Linked DNA regions of Xenopus tropicalis. The protein of the gene in region 3 binds, or shares a complex with, the protein of the main gene of each other region. Links are inferred from orthologs where the notes say so. Each region holds a gene or a part of one and is shown on either strand. Other genes may lie near its edges.

The links.
Region 1: mybbp1a (region 3) and dek share a complex: the UniProt entries of both Homo sapiens proteins name them as parts of the B-WICH complex. The link is inferred for Xenopus tropicalis from reciprocal best matches to the Homo sapiens genes MYBBP1A and DEK.
Region 2: mybbp1a (region 3) and smarca5 share a complex: the UniProt entries of both Homo sapiens proteins name them as parts of the B-WICH complex. The link is inferred for Xenopus tropicalis from reciprocal best matches to the Homo sapiens genes MYBBP1A and SMARCA5.
Region 4: mybbp1a (region 3) and sf3b1 share a complex: the UniProt entries of both Homo sapiens proteins name them as parts of the B-WICH complex. The link is inferred for Xenopus tropicalis from reciprocal best matches to the Homo sapiens genes MYBBP1A and SF3B1.

The regions. Positions count from the first base shown.
Region 1 is NC_030682.2:93,507,200-93,510,768, forward strand, and holds part of dek (protein DEK), read right to left. Parts: intron 3,475-3,569; coding exon 3,336-3,474; intron 1-3,335. UniProt on the Homo sapiens protein: Involved in chromatin organization.
Region 2 is NC_030677.2:59,238,887-59,243,108, forward strand, and holds the start of smarca5 (SWI/SNF-related matrix-associated actin-dependent regulator of chromatin subfamily A member 5), read right to left. Parts: upstream 2,818-4,222; 5' UTR 2,669-2,817; coding exon 2,519-2,668; intron 1-2,518. UniProt on the Homo sapiens protein: ATPase that possesses intrinsic ATP-dependent nucleosome-remodeling activity.
Region 3 is NC_030678.2:101,003,546-101,007,114, reverse strand, and holds part of mybbp1a (myb-binding protein 1A), read right to left. Parts: coding exon 3,532-3,569; intron 2,915-3,531; coding exon 2,757-2,914; intron 279-2,756; coding exon 144-278; intron 1-143. UniProt on the Homo sapiens protein: May activate or repress transcription via interactions with sequence specific DNA-binding proteins. Repression may be mediated at least in part by histone deacetylase activity (HDAC activity).
Region 4 is NC_030685.2:45,859,893-45,863,461, forward strand, and holds part of sf3b1 (splicing factor 3B subunit 1), read right to left. Parts: intron 3,116-3,569; coding exon 2,933-3,115; intron 2,834-2,932; coding exon 2,722-2,833; intron 2,636-2,721; coding exon 2,515-2,635; intron 1-2,514. UniProt on the Homo sapiens protein: Component of the 17S U2 SnRNP complex of the spliceosome, a large ribonucleoprotein complex that removes introns from transcribed pre-mRNAs.

The DNA.
Region 1 (3,569 bases), on a different chromosome or scaffold from region 3:
AGGCCATCTTGTAGAAACTGTAGAAGCCATGCTAGCCAGAATTCTGGAAACAGTACCTCTTCCTTCTTGCACCGTGTTCTGTAACATTCCCATGTTCTATGATACATCTTGGACGTATTGGTTTGCGTGCCTTATAATCATGGTCAATATTTACTGTGACCGGTTCCCTGGCAATCTTTCGCAACACCCGAGGTAGCATGGGAAGGGGAGGAAACACGTAAGCTAGTCTGAAGTGCCAAGGGACTGCCATGGCATCTACGCCCTCCGCTAGTGAATCTCTGTCTTGGGAAGAATCTGGGTACCTTCCGGTTGTGCCTGGATGACATTAAAATCGATTTATGGTTCTCCCCACTTCCTAGTCAGCAGTTGAAAAACATTCTTCAGTAGACTCCATTCTCCTGGGTGCAACCGATGTCTCCTGAGGTAATCGGCTTCTACGTTGTCTACTCTGGGAATGTGTATTGCCGAGATCAGGGTGTCTGTTCTTTCTGCCCACTCCAGTATGCGAGTCACTTATAGGTTTACTCTCCTACTTCTTGAGTCTCCTTGTCGGCTGACATAAGCCACCGCCGTTGCATTGTCCGACTGTATTCTCACAGCTTGGCCTTTCAGAATGTTTTCCCATGCCTGAAATGCCCGCAGGATGGCCCTGATCTCTAGAATGTTTATCGCTAATGGCGACTCTGTCTGTGACCAAAGTCCCTGGACTGAGTGTCTCTGGAATGTTAGTCGTGACCAGGTTTCTGCGAAGAATCGAAGTCGACCTCCTATGGAACCTGTGTCCAGGGCCACCAGACTGTAGACAGGAGGAGGTCACCTTGTCTCCTGTCTGTTTTGGCAAGTGTCTTTGGGGTTGCCATGTGGATTTCCCCTTGTTGGAGAACCAATTCTTGGAGGTAGTCTGGGAGTTCGATTGTGAACTGGATCTGAAGTTACGAAACCCTTGGTTCCAAAAGGACTGTCCCTTCCAGACTTGGGTTTATTCTGGGGCAAGAGAGTACTTTTGCCCCCAGTAGCCTGAGAAATTATCTTGTCCAGTTCATCGCCAAATAACTACTATCCCTGAAAGGGAATGGATATCAGGGATTTTTTTAGAGCCAATGTCAGCCGACCAAAGCTTCAACAAAGGTGCTCTTCATGTGGCAACTGAGAACGCAGATGCCCTCGCAATGACCCTAGCCACGTCAAGTGAGGCATCTGCTAGGAACTGGTAGGCTTCTTGGATGTAAGAAGCCAGTTGGATGATTGTGTCTTTGGGACCGTCCTTGGGACTGACCATGTTTCGACAGCCTGACTGACCCAGGCAGAGGCTAGGATGGGCCACAGTGCTGACCCGGTGGAGAGGAAGAAGACCCTCCATCCTCTTGTCAGTTGGGTCCTTGAACACTGAGGCGTCTGGGACTGGGGGAGCGGTGAGGAGCACTCCACTGAGTCCTTGGGAAAAGGATACTGTTTGGAAAAGAAATTTAGTAACCTGAAATTTCTTATCAGGAGATTTCCACTCCTCAAGAATCAAATTCTGTAATTGTTTGTGAGCTCAAAAGGCTACTGATGTCTTGCATTGCCTTTTAAACAGCCTTTTTTTGAGTAGACTCCTCCTCCTGAATGTTTAGGGTTTCTAGAACTGCCCTAATTAGGCTTTCCACACCAGGTGTTGTGTCAGCCGTGGTGTCCTCCTCGCTGGAGTCAGAGGCCGCTGGGGAGGAGACTATCTGCCCATCGCTGATCTCTTCATCAGAAGAGGGAAGCGTGAAAGAACCCTTAAGGGATGTTTCTGCTAGACAAGGCTGCTTGCATTCAGGTGTAACATCAGAGGCGTACGCCATTTTGGTAAGCATCTTATCAACAGAAGATGCCAATTGTGGTATGCATTGCAGGCTTGATAGGGACTGAGACAATGTGAGTGCCCAGCCTGGTACCTCGGAAGGCCCTTCAGGGTCTGAGATGCCCATGGTAGAGGAGCCCTATATGGTTCCATTAGAACCTGTCCCTAATAGCGAAGGGGTTAGAGTATCAGAGGTGTGTGCTTGGGTAGGGCTGCAAGTGGAGCAGAGCGGATCAGCTTGGCCCTCCCTGAACTTTGTAAGGCACTTGGTGCATGCAAAAAAGGTTGCAAGCAGGTTAGGGTGCTTACCCCCCCTTGAGAACAGTGCCTTCCGCTCTACTAAGAGAATGCTTGGCGATGTCGCTGTTACTGTTATTGAATGTCCCTGAATGGGAAGTAGATGCAGAGAGTCCGCAGCCCTGGGTCAGTTAATCACGTCTGCCGTACCCTGAATGGCGCGAACAGTGCTGTGAGGTGCATTGTTGGCTCTCCCTTGTGCACAAATGTGTTGCTTCCGGTCGCAAGTAGCGATGACAGCACTTATGACTGGCAGCGCGCCAAATAAAGCCGTGCGGCAGGGGAAGCGGTGTGATAGCACGCTGGTAGCATGGCAGGGGAACACGAGCAGAGAAATAGTATCTCCGGTGCCTGCCCCGCATACTTACTCTGATTAGAGTGCTGAAGCAGGGCATTGAGCATTTTGTCCCGCAGGGGAATCGGGTTTCCTGTGGATCCCACGTCGGGGGCTTGCCTGTAATGAACAGAACAGGTCTGACAAGGCCTCACCCCGGGTGCCAGTACTATCTACTGACCGAAGAAATCTTGCTGGGCCTCCTAGAGGCCAGTCCAACCTGCTGTATGAAGGACACTGAAAAAACTGGTGCCCTTCAGGGGCGGTAGGGGATAAAGGGAGAGTAGGTGGGTCCTCAGATCTGATGTCATCAGAGTCCTGCCTCCTGATGGGAGGGGCCCTTTACCCCCATGGTCCGTGTCCCCCTAGACGTGAGAAAAAATATCTATGTCCAACAATGGTTCAGTTAAAGGCAAAATCCCAATCCAACCAAAGAATATATGGCAATATTTAAAAATTGAGCTGCTCACTAATCATTTGACAACATGGAGAAAACCTGTCTGGAATAATGGGTCGATATCATCCCTCAATATTGTGCAAGTCTGATATGCACTTACTCCAAAAGCACAACTGTAATTGCTGTAAATGCAGCCAACGTTGGGTGGGGTGACACTATACATTTGTTAGTAGGGATTTACAATATACTTGTATTAAAGAGCTATCTTGTATTATAGAGCTATCTACACAGAGGCTGTTTATATGATATGTGTTTAGATATACTTTCAGGAGTATTGTTCTCAGATGGAGAATATATTTTTTAACAGAAGATGGCTACAATATTATATTTTTTTTTCAACTAATTTTGATAAAATACACAATGTTTAGAATAGAATAACTGCAGTTTTTAAGAAAAAAAAAATCTGTTAAAGCACAGCTTACCTTTTTTGGCATTTCCTTGACTTTTCTTGTTAGCAGTACTACTGTCAGCTTTTTTGACATTTGCTGATTTTGCAGCTTTTTTGCCTTTGGGTGTTGATTTAGGCTTTGATTTTGCCTTTTTTGCAATTTTCTTCGGTGGCTGTGAAATTGTAAAAATGGAACAAAAGTTAGCAATATTCCACAGGAGCAGGCCTTTTATGTAACAAGACACTTCAGTCCAGCAGTGATGGACTC
Region 2 (4,222 bases), on a different chromosome or scaffold from region 3:
TTCTACTTTTCCATATCTGATGATTCAGCCCTGAATGTCAGGGTGGGTTGGAACGATCTTTCGTGCAACAGAAAGATCAAAAATCGCCACGTGTGTGGTCATCTTAAGGGCTCTGGCACACGGGGAGATTAGTCGCCCGCAACAAATCTCCCTGTTCACGGGCAACTAATCTCCCCGAAATGCCATCCCACTGGCGAAAATGCAAATTACCGGTGGGATGGCATACGTGGCGCCGCGATTTCCCTGAAATAGCGGAAGTTGTCTTGAGAGGAAACTTCCGCGATTTCAGGGAACAAATAACAAATCTGCCCTTTTTATTTCCTTACACAAGGCAAACAGCCAAAGTTTTCCCCACCTCTTATGTAGATGAAATTTCTGTTACAGAAGTTGGAAGGACAGTGCGATGCATTTGAAGAAGCACACAGTCCTCTTAGCTTCTGTTAAAGTTTTTCTTTTAGGGGCAGGAACATTTAATTTTTATCCCCACCAAGGCCTATTTTTACCTGGCTGGCAATTTCTTCCCTACTAGCGATACACTTGAGCTAGCTTGAAGTTAAAAAAAAAAATAATCCGATTGTTTGGCCCTGGGGCCAAACGACCGGATTATGTAGGCAGCAATGGGGCAGTCGGTTCGGGGACCGCATCAACGAGCTGATGCGGCCTCCGATCCGACTGAATCTTTTAACCTGGCCGATCGATATCTGGCCAATTTCAGGCCAGATATCGGTCGGCCAGCCCGCTCGTTTCTGCCCCTACACGGGCAGATAAGCTGCCGAGCCGGTCCAAGGGACCGATATCGGCAGCTTCTATCGGCCCGTGTAAGGGGGCCTTTAGTCTAAATTTAAGAGATATGTAAAAACTGGTAATGTAACTGAATTTGTGACTTTCCACTGTTGAAAATCATGGGATTACGGACTGGTTATAGTGCATAAATTTTAAACGTCTATTCATAAGTCCTTAAATGTCTATTATGTATATATTCTGGTACTTATGTATTTAGATTTGCCCCCTAATAAAGGGGCTAATAGACGTTAAAGGAGACATAGGATAAATGAAAAAATCTCTAATCTTGTAGGCAATTATGAATACTATATGGTGCTGGTTTCACTTTGGTCTTTAATACCACTATCTGTAAAAATGAACCCTTTATCAGAGCTTCCTATAGATTCTCTCGGGTCCCTGCCTGTGTTTCAAATGCAGTGTGGGCATGTTCTAACTTTCCCTGCCAGAAGCACAGTAGGATAGCACACACACCTCTGCACAGATAGGCTTCAGTTCCCTATCAGGTCAGCCTAATTGCTGATTGGCTTCAATCCTACAGTGCAAAGTGCTGCATGGCCTGGGAACGGAGGAAGTGGAACAGATGGGCTGGACTTTTACCCATTTGGATAATAAATGGGTTAAGCCCCCTTAACCTCAGCTATATCACATTTATTTTTTTTCTGGGGAGAACACTGGCAAGAACTATTAAATGACTGGACTGGGAAATGAAATAAACCCTGGTTTATCAGGTGCAAAGAAAGCCAAACAGTCCCCACAGGCCCAATAAACAGGGACTGACTACAAACAGCTGTTCATTGAACAGGGAGAACTGATTGCTTAGAAATACAGTATTCCATCAACTATTTATAATAAGTCAGGCGAATAAAAATAAAGCCAAAAGGCTGAAAAACAGGAACACAAAGATAACTAATTTAGATCAAGGGCAGAAAAGATCTTGCATACAGTTAATAACTTAAATGAGAAAAGTGAGTAGAGTTTATTTGATAAAGTTGGTTAAAACTTGCACCCTTGCATTAACCCATGACAATCGATCAAAGTTTGCTATTATTGTTCTAACTGAAGAAGGATGAAAAAAAGCTCATCTCTGATTGGTTGCTATGGGTTACTGTCCAGATGCAGATTGCTGATAAATGATCAGCAGTAAGTGAACTAGGAACACATAAGAATCTCCATTAGAAAAATTACGTAAGAGGCCACAGATATCGGCACTACTCCTTGTACATGTTCCGTGAGCCGATAGAAAGGCTGGCAGCAGGATGATGGAAATGTAGTATAGCATGTCAGCTAACAAAGAGTTGGAGGCCTGGAGAGCGACCAGCACTAACAGTAGCCACGCCCCGTACTGGGAGGAGCCGCTGGGGCTTTAGAATGACTTTTGGAACAATGAGAAGCCCAATGCTAAGAGAGTGCGAAGCACCACACCTAGCCAATACTTATAATATATATATATATATATATATATAGGAAATGAGAGGTACCGTGAGGCAGAAGCCCGGCTACCGCGCACATGCGCACTCACGGCTGGACATTTCAATGGGACAGAGAGGTCCGCTTTAACTCTACAGGTTCTCACATACGCAAGTGAATGAGCAGATAAGACATATCTAGCTGCTGAAAAACTACAACTCTCAGCGGCCAGGAGATGGTTAAAATAATGACGTTCAAGATAAAGAAGAAGTTTGAGTTCCTTGGTAGGAGCCATAAAGTGCGTGCTGCCTGGGCCGGCTCCTCTTACCTCCATCGCTTCCTCTTTAACTGCGTCTCCGCCCGGCTCTTGTTTCGCCTGATCGCCCGTATCTACTTCCATAGCCTCCTTTGCTTCTCCTTTTTCCTCTTTCGCTACGGTGTCCGGAGCCGGCTGCTGCTCGGTGCCTTCCGCGGACATGATCAGGATCTACTAACACCGTCCGTCCAACGCGGGGCTCACACAACGAGGCAGGGGGTTTAATGAGAAACCCGGAGTAAAGCGCGATCCTTGAATGGATGCGTGTGTAATCCCACACGCTGCTGGCGGGAGCCACTAGGAAGAGAGCGTAGGGGGCGCGTAGGAGAGCGCACTCGCAATGTGCCGGCTTTTTCCCTCTTTGATCGACAGCGCGCGTCACCAGGGAGAGGGGAAAAAAACGCACCAATCCGTTTGAGATCTCGCGAGATCTAAGCTTTACTAGGGAGCCGAGACCAGATCCCGCGAGATTTGGCCCCGCAAGCCTACGCTAGGGTGATGCGAGTGGCCCATATGGCAGAGGCAGCGGCGGCGCGCATAAAAAAAACTATTGTACCCGCGCAAGAGTGGAATAATGGGCGTGTCTACAGATTGAATGGGAGGCGGGAAAAAAGGGGCGGGCTTCTAAATTGCCGGGTTTACGGGGATGTTTCTGCCTAAAATCTCGCGAGAATAGTTTGTTGTCAATGGTTGGGTACAGTGTATGTCGCATTTAGCGGGTTTGTACTCTGCCCTCTTAGGAGTTTGTCATGTAGGTTGAGAATGGGGATTGTTTTCTACAATGTACCTTAAACCAAACATCTACAAATGAAATATTTTTCATTTTCACACCCTAGTAAACGTGAACTTCTAGTCTTTCAAAATAAGGGGTCATTTCAAGTTATTTTAGGAATACCATTAGTATGAGATAGAATAGGCTATACTAAGAAACTAAGGTATTGCCCAGGGGGCTGTTATGAGAAACATTGGGGCTCTATACAGGGCTGATTCTGCCCCTTAATCAGGCTTTCCAGTGCCGCCCTGTGTATGCTATATGAAGTTTGGGAATAGTCAAAGGATAAGTTCACTTTTTAAAAAGGTTAGTTTGCCGATCTGATTCACAGCTTTTCAAAGCTGGATCCTCAAATAAACAACACAGATTGGCGCTGAAAGCTACAAGGGAATAAGAAAAATGAACATTTAGTCCAGGGATCCCCAACCTTTCCTACGCGGGAGCCACAGTCATGTAAAAAGACTTGGGGAGCAACACAAGCACCATAAAAGTTCATGGAGGTGCCAAATAAGGGCCGTGATTGGCTATTAGGGGCCTCTATGCACCCTATCAGCTTACAGGGGGCTTTATTTGGTAGGAAATCTTGTTTTTATTAAACCAAAACTTGCCCCCAAGTCAGGAATTCAACAATAACTCCCTGGTTTGGGGTCACTGAGAGCAACATCCAACATGTTGCCCCCGAGCCACTGGTGGGGATCACTGATCTAGTGTAATATAATCAAAATACTCAAACACCCTTGTGGTCAAACTTTAAAGGAGAGGGAAAGGCAAAGTCACTTGGAGGAGCCAAAATGTTAGGCACCCCCAGTGACTTTAATCTCTTACCTTCTACCCCGGGCTGGTGCCCCTGTACGGAGAGAACAGCACCAGCCCGGGGTAGCAGCGATTCCTCCTTCCGGCTTCGCTCGCGTACACATGCGCAGTAGAGTGAAAAGCCGAACTTT
Region 3 (3,569 bases):
TGATGCAATGGTGCAGCCAAACCCCCTCATTTCTATAGAAGCTTTAGCTTGGCAGCATATACTCTGGGCCTAGAAGAGCACTGGTATAACTGTGTTTAAGCGAAAAGCAGAGTTTTACTCCAAAATTAAAGGGACTGGCTTACCTGAAACAGTATAATGCCACAGAAGAGTCACTTTGTTTGCAGGCTTTTGCCACAAGCCTTTCCATCATGCCGTGCAGTTCTTCCTTAAGCTCTCCAACATCTTTACAATAACGCTTGGCTTTACATAAATCATTCCTATAAGGTAGAGAAAGAACAGAAAGCCTTATATTCTAATTCAGCACTATTGAATAGGACCTAGTTAATACGCTTGCCACTTATACGCTTATAGTTTTGAATCCAGGATACTGTCCCGTCATAAAAATGGTTTTACTATCTCACTATATGTGAGTAACGTGTAATGTTTCAGCCTCCTCAGGACCTCATCATACACATATCTCTGACTGCAACTCCTGAGTGTAATTCAATTCAGAGTAGCTACTGCCCTTTACAAAATAAATTGCATTTCACAAGTCAATGTGTTCCCATTAAATTATGTTTTTGTGGCCCCTTCTTCTGTCTGTTTAAGCATTACTCTGAGCATGTCAGATCCTTCTTGCTGACAACGTGTGCCAGAGCCCTAAAAGATATTACTTCACCCATATCAGGTGACATATGTCTCAGGCCAATAATGGGTCAAGGCTAAATGTATCAACTACTTAATTTTAATACCCGTGGACAATTCTATTGGAAAAACAGATAAAACAAGTGTTTTGCACCCAAGTAACATGCTCCTACCCTGTGAGATTTTATCTCTGCAACAGTTATAACAGACAGGTAACATGCAATAAAAAAATTTATATATTTTATATTACAGAACTCCTTTCGTAAAATAAAGTTTCAGCTCTGGGAAAATAAATAAACAGGTAGGGGCCGATTTATGAACCTTTGTTTTTTGCTCTTTCACAAATCATACTATCAAGCTCTAAAAATCACATATTTTACTAATTACTTGACAAAACAAATTTTTCATAATTTACCAAGTGTAAAAACTATGAAAAACACTAATATAAAACTACGCCATCTAAAAGCTTGTCGTGCTCATGTAGATTTCAATGGTAGCTGTCCTAGGAAAATTGTAACAATCATTATTTAATTCGAGTTATTTGTTAGTGCTCTAAATTCTTATAAAAATGAGGATTTCAAAGTTTTCATATTCTTCTTCATTTTCACTGTAAATTTTATTTGATCATGCTTTTTATATTTGGATCTTTTAATAAATAAGTGAACATTCAAGATTTTTTTCATTTGTTTGTTTTTTCTTGGTAAGAAAAAGTTACACAACTTAAAATTTTAAATCCTACAGCAAGGATGTGGCATCCTTGCAGCAGGATCTTGACCAACTGGCAATCTGGGCAGCAGAGTGGCAGATGAGATTTAATGTGGATAAATATAAAGGTCATGCAACTGGGATGTAAAAATATGCAAGCCACCCTTAATGGGACTGCACTAGGCAAATCCATAATGGAGAAGGACCTTGGAGTCCTTGTAGATAATAAACTTGGCTGTAGCAAGCAATGCCAGGCAGCAGCTGCAAGGGCAAACAGGGTTTTGAGCTGTATTAAAAGGGGTATAGATTCACGGGAGGAGGGGGCTATTCTTCCCCTTTACAGAGCGCTGGTAAGGCCCCATCTAGAATATGCTGTTCAGTTTTGGTCTCCAGTGCACAAACGGGACATTATTGAATTAGAGAGGGTCCAGAGAAGGGCAAAGTCTCGGTTATGAAGAAAGACTGGGCCAAGTTGGGTCTGTTTACACTGGAGAAGAGGCGCTTAAAGGACAATGAAAGGTTAATATAAATTAAAAGTAAGTCTAAAGGCATTCTTTTTAAGTACTAACTGCATATCTAAATTCCCAGATCTCTGCTTGCTTCTCTGAGATATGGTGCTGGCAGCCTACAGCAGTGTGAAGACTACAGTGACATCACTGAAATCTCTCTGTCCTTCCTGTAGGCTGGAAGCGGATCTGGCAGAGGGGAGGGAATGAAACACATGTGCAGTATGAAGCAAGAAGGGAAAGGAAGGGAGAATACCTTTTTGGAGATGGCTGCCTGTTCTAGAAAATGTGAAGTAAGTGTGACTGAGTAAATATTTGATTAGGTGAGCCAAAAGTGTGGCGTTTTTACTAAATAATAGGAGGACTATTGGGCAGTATGCTTTTTAAATTTTGACTTGCATTCTCCTTTAAGAGGTGACATGATAACTATGTATAAATATATAAGGGGGCCATATAATAACATCTATAATGCTTTATTTACCATTAGGTCCTTCCAACGGACACAAGGGCACCTACTCCGTTTAGAAGAAGGGAGGTTCCGTTTAAATATTCGGAAAGGATTCTTTACTGGAGAGCTGTGAAGTTGTGGAATTCCCTCCCCGAATCAGTTGTACTGGCTGAAACATTATATAGCTTTAAGAAGGGGCTGGATGGATTCTTAGCAAGTGAGGGAATACAGGGTTATGGGAGATAGCTCTTAGTACAAGTTGATCCAGGGACTGGATTGCCATCTTGGAGTCAGGAAGGATTTTTTCCCCTCTGCGACAAATTAGAAAGGCTTCAGATGGGGTTTTTTGCCTCTCTCTGGATCAACTACAACCTAACTTACTATGTTACTATATCTACCTCACTGAATCCCAAACTAATCTGGATATGTGCATCATGTGCTTGGGTACTTACATGAAAATGTCTGCTGTTTTTCTGAGAAAGTCTTGTTCCTGTTGGTTAGATTCAGAATTCATGCTTTGTTCAATTACAGAAATTAATGGTTCAATGATGTTAAATACAAGAGGACTGTCAGGCTGCTTTTTCACAAACACCTCTATCAGATCCAGCACCTGTGGACACAGAATGAGTTGTCAGTTATCAGTTAATGACTTTTTTTTCTTTTTGCACTCAACAAATGCAATAATGAGATACTAAAAAACGAGCACCATTAGCAGTCATATCCTTTAAAAGTGAATGATTGTGCACATCTAGGACAGATTAAAAAAATGTGTATGTGCGGTTTCAGTATCTTATACATAGGAACAAACTAAGGGATCTGGAAAAGAAAATTCTAATAAATCCTAACCAATTAAATAAAGGAATGGGTGCCCTTTACAGTTCAGTACAAGAGGGCTCAGTTCGTGCAAGCTACATATGAAGAAAGCTGGTGAAAACTGCTGACATCACTATAATGGCGCAAGAGAATGATATAACATAAGCATGAAAAAAGACAGGACTTTGGTCCTTCAAGAATTAAACTCATGAGACTACTTTCAATTTTGCCCTAAGAAAGGTATGTAAATGATTTGAGGTTTCATTCCAGTCAGAGAACTATAAGCAAGAAATCTGAATGTTCTCATGCATGCATGGGTTTTGGATTCTGATTAAAAAACTGACATACCCAACTCTGCATTAAATGATATTTTCATTTAGTGGGGAAAAAAGCATTTAAAATAATATTAACAACCTTTGTCTTGAACTCCTTGCGCAAAATCTTCTCCCCAC
Region 4 (3,569 bases), on a different chromosome or scaffold from region 3:
ATCAAGTGTCAGATACTGCTTGTTTGTATTTTGTTTCAATAAAGATCTTTGTTTTTAACCCTGGAGCGTGGAGACCGTTTCTTTTTCCTTTCAGATTGTAATCACTTAACTTATACCCCGGGCTGGTGCTCCTGTTAGCAGAAACCTGCACTGCCAAAATCCTGGAGCCAAAGCATATGCGGTAAAGTGAAAAAGCCAGCTTTTTTGCCGATGTTTGGTTTTTCACACTTAACATGTGCCCACAGTGTAAAGAAAGAAGCACTCACATGTACCCCTGGCTGGAGCTGTTTTCTGCTAACAGAAGCACCGGCTTGGGGTATCAGGTAAGTGATTACAACCACTTGAGCTGCCTACATTTTTTGTGATCCTGTTTTAATTTCTGCCTGAGGGAGATTCTATTATATTTAGTCAAAGTGTGAACAATTTCTCATAACTCAATTAAACCTCTTAGCTGAACCAAATCAAAGCCTTGCCACTTATTCTTATGTGATGATTCTAGAAAGAACATCATTATTATTTTTAAGCTGTGTAGGCCAGTTAGTTGTCTTACAAAAAAAAAAATACATTTAACGAATTACATTTGTACAAAGCTAGTTATTTTCTATTCTATACATTGTTATCAATTCCATCAGAATAGGTTGGAATGATGTTTAAACTGGTTACAGGCTTGGAGTCCTACATTGTTTAAAGCTCTGCTGTCCAACTGGCCCCTCTGTGTCCCCCCCCCACCTGTCTGCCTGCTGTGACTGCTTACCTTTGTGTAAGCTTTAAATGGTACAGGTATGGGATCCGTTATCCGGAAACCCATTATCCAGAAAGTTCCAAATTACGGGATGGCCCGTAACTGGCCCATAGACTCCATTATAAGCAAATAATTCTAATTTTTAAAAATGATTTCCTTTTTCTCTGTATTAAAACAGTACCTTGTACTTGATCCCAACTAAGATATAATTACTCCTTATTGGAAGCAAAACAATTCTGTTGATTTTTTTTTTTAATGTTTGAAAAATCTTTTAGTAGACAATGTAAGGTGATCCAAATTATGGAAAGATCACTTATCCAGAAAACCCCAGGTCCTGAGCATTCTGGTTAATGGGTTCCATACTTGTATCAGTACTGAGATTAACTGGCATTATTATCCTCAGATTCAGGCTGTAATCCCCGGTACTTTTCATACCTTTTAGTGAATGTACTGTTCACACCTCAGGCTCAGACTGTAAGACCCCACATTGTTCACACCTCAGACACACTGTAGGAGCAGTGTCAGCATTGTGTCACTATATGTACTGCACACACAGGCAGCATAGGGCAGGCAGAGTATGGCGCACACAGGGCAGCATAGGGCTGGGATAGTATGGCACACACTGGCAGCATAGAGCATGCAGAATACTGCCATACTTTGCCTGCCCTATACTGCTTGTGTATGTCATACTCTGCCTGCCCAATGCTGCCTGTGTGCACCATACACTGCCTGCCCTACGTTGCCTGTGGGAGGTGAACCAGGCAGGGTTTTGTTCTAGGAGTTTGTAGCATTTGGAAATAGTTATTATATGGTCCCTAAGGTGTCTAATTATATGGTGGGGGTTGCTGTGCTATCCACAAGGGAGGATGAGGCATATGGATTTAAGGGTATGTCTTAATATGACATAATATAATTCTTTCACATATGAATGAAGGGTAATATCCCTACAGTGAGCACCAACTATTTGGGTTTTTGCTGTGCTACCATCATCAATGTCAGTATGATCTTAAAAGCTCTTGTGATAACATTGGTGTGGTTTGGAGTGGGTACAGTTTAAAAAGGGGGAGGAGTGGTCAAAAATGGCTTCCATTATTAGCCATCCACCACACAGGCCACAAAAATTCTGGCCCTCGGTACCACAAAAGTTGGACAGCACACAATAGTTGAAGTAGTATTTCCAAATAATGGAATTATAAGCACAGAACAACTTAAGTAATTTAATGTGTGTACACACACACTGAAACTTGCAAAAATGGTGACCTCCGTTCACGGTGGTCTTCATTTTCTATGTGTGTGTCTTGTGAGTTAGTTTAAAGGAGTACCAGTAGCAGTTGGTGTTTCTACATCAGATTATGTGGCTTGTGTGTGGGCTTAGTGTATTTCTTTTCATGCAATGTATCATCCATTGGTCCCAGTAGCCACCCATACACACAGTCAATTTCTTTGAAAGCAATGAAATCACTGTTATACTTAACATTCTCTAACATTTTCCCACTGGATACAGTAGCACCTAAGAGGCTTAATCAAATACTGCCTCTATGTAGATCTAGAACTTTCTTATATGAGACTTTGCTACATCTGAACTAGTATACCTAATATGAATGCCCCACTTTTTTTCCTTTTCATGATTTAATATGTAATATGCACTATTATGATTTTAGATACACATATTTTGGTCAAAAGACCCTTGACATTAATATTCAGGATGTTTTATCTTGTAATAAAAGGACATATTGGAGATCGAAAATTAAAATAGCATTTAAGCACTTTACCTGTCAGCAATACGCCCAACAAGATCAATGCAGTTCTCCTGTACTTTCTCGTGTCTATTTTTCAGGATAGGTGTTAACCGTGGTAGAAGATCCTTAATTGGAGGTGTCATCTTGTGCATTCCTAGTGTGCCAAAGTTAAAGAGTGAGCAGAATTTTCATTTATTAAAATAGGCACAAAAATGAGAAAATTCACTGATTCATACTTACCTATAACATTTACGATTGCTTTAAGAGCTCCTAAAATACTTCCCAGTACTTCAGGGTACTCTTCTCCAAGATATTCATATAAAACAACACCCAAATGTCCCATCAATTTTTCCTATAATGAAACATAAGATAGGTTGTTTAGTAAATTAAACAATCCCCACCTCCAAAAAAAAAAACAACACACAACCCCCCCCCCCCCCAACAAACACACCTCTTGACAAGTCTTCATGACAACTGCAGTGCGGGATATCAAGTCAGCAGCCTGCTGTCTTACTTTAGCAGATTTATTGTTCAACCTCCACAAGACTGTTCCACAAATTTGAGGCAGGTAAGGCTTTACTCTTTTACCAAGAGCATTTACAACAGTGCCAAATCCATTTAACATTACAGAATCCTAGGAAACAAGATCAAAAAAAGAAAATTTAAATCACAGCACCCAAATCCTGCACGTATTCTATAATTACTATAATTACTCATCTCTCCCTCCAAAACTCAAATCTATGAATACGTCACATTCCCAAACCAAAAATTCATACCAGTAATAGGGATTTTATCTAAGAACTTTTTAAGAACTGTATTTAACATGTAAGTCGCCGGCGGGATGGCAGACGTGGCGGGGCGATTTCCGGAAATCGCCGAAAAAGACTCGCGAGTCTTTTTCAGCAATTTGCGCGAAATCGCGCCGCGTCTGCCATCCCGCCGGCGACTTACATGTTCGCCGGTGGGATGGCAGGGGTAGGCAACTCGGGGAGATAAGTCGCCCGCGAACAGGGAGTTAATCGCGGGCGACTAATCTCCCCCGTGTGCCAGAGCCCTAAAGGTATCAGTAATAATATAAAACTGGCACT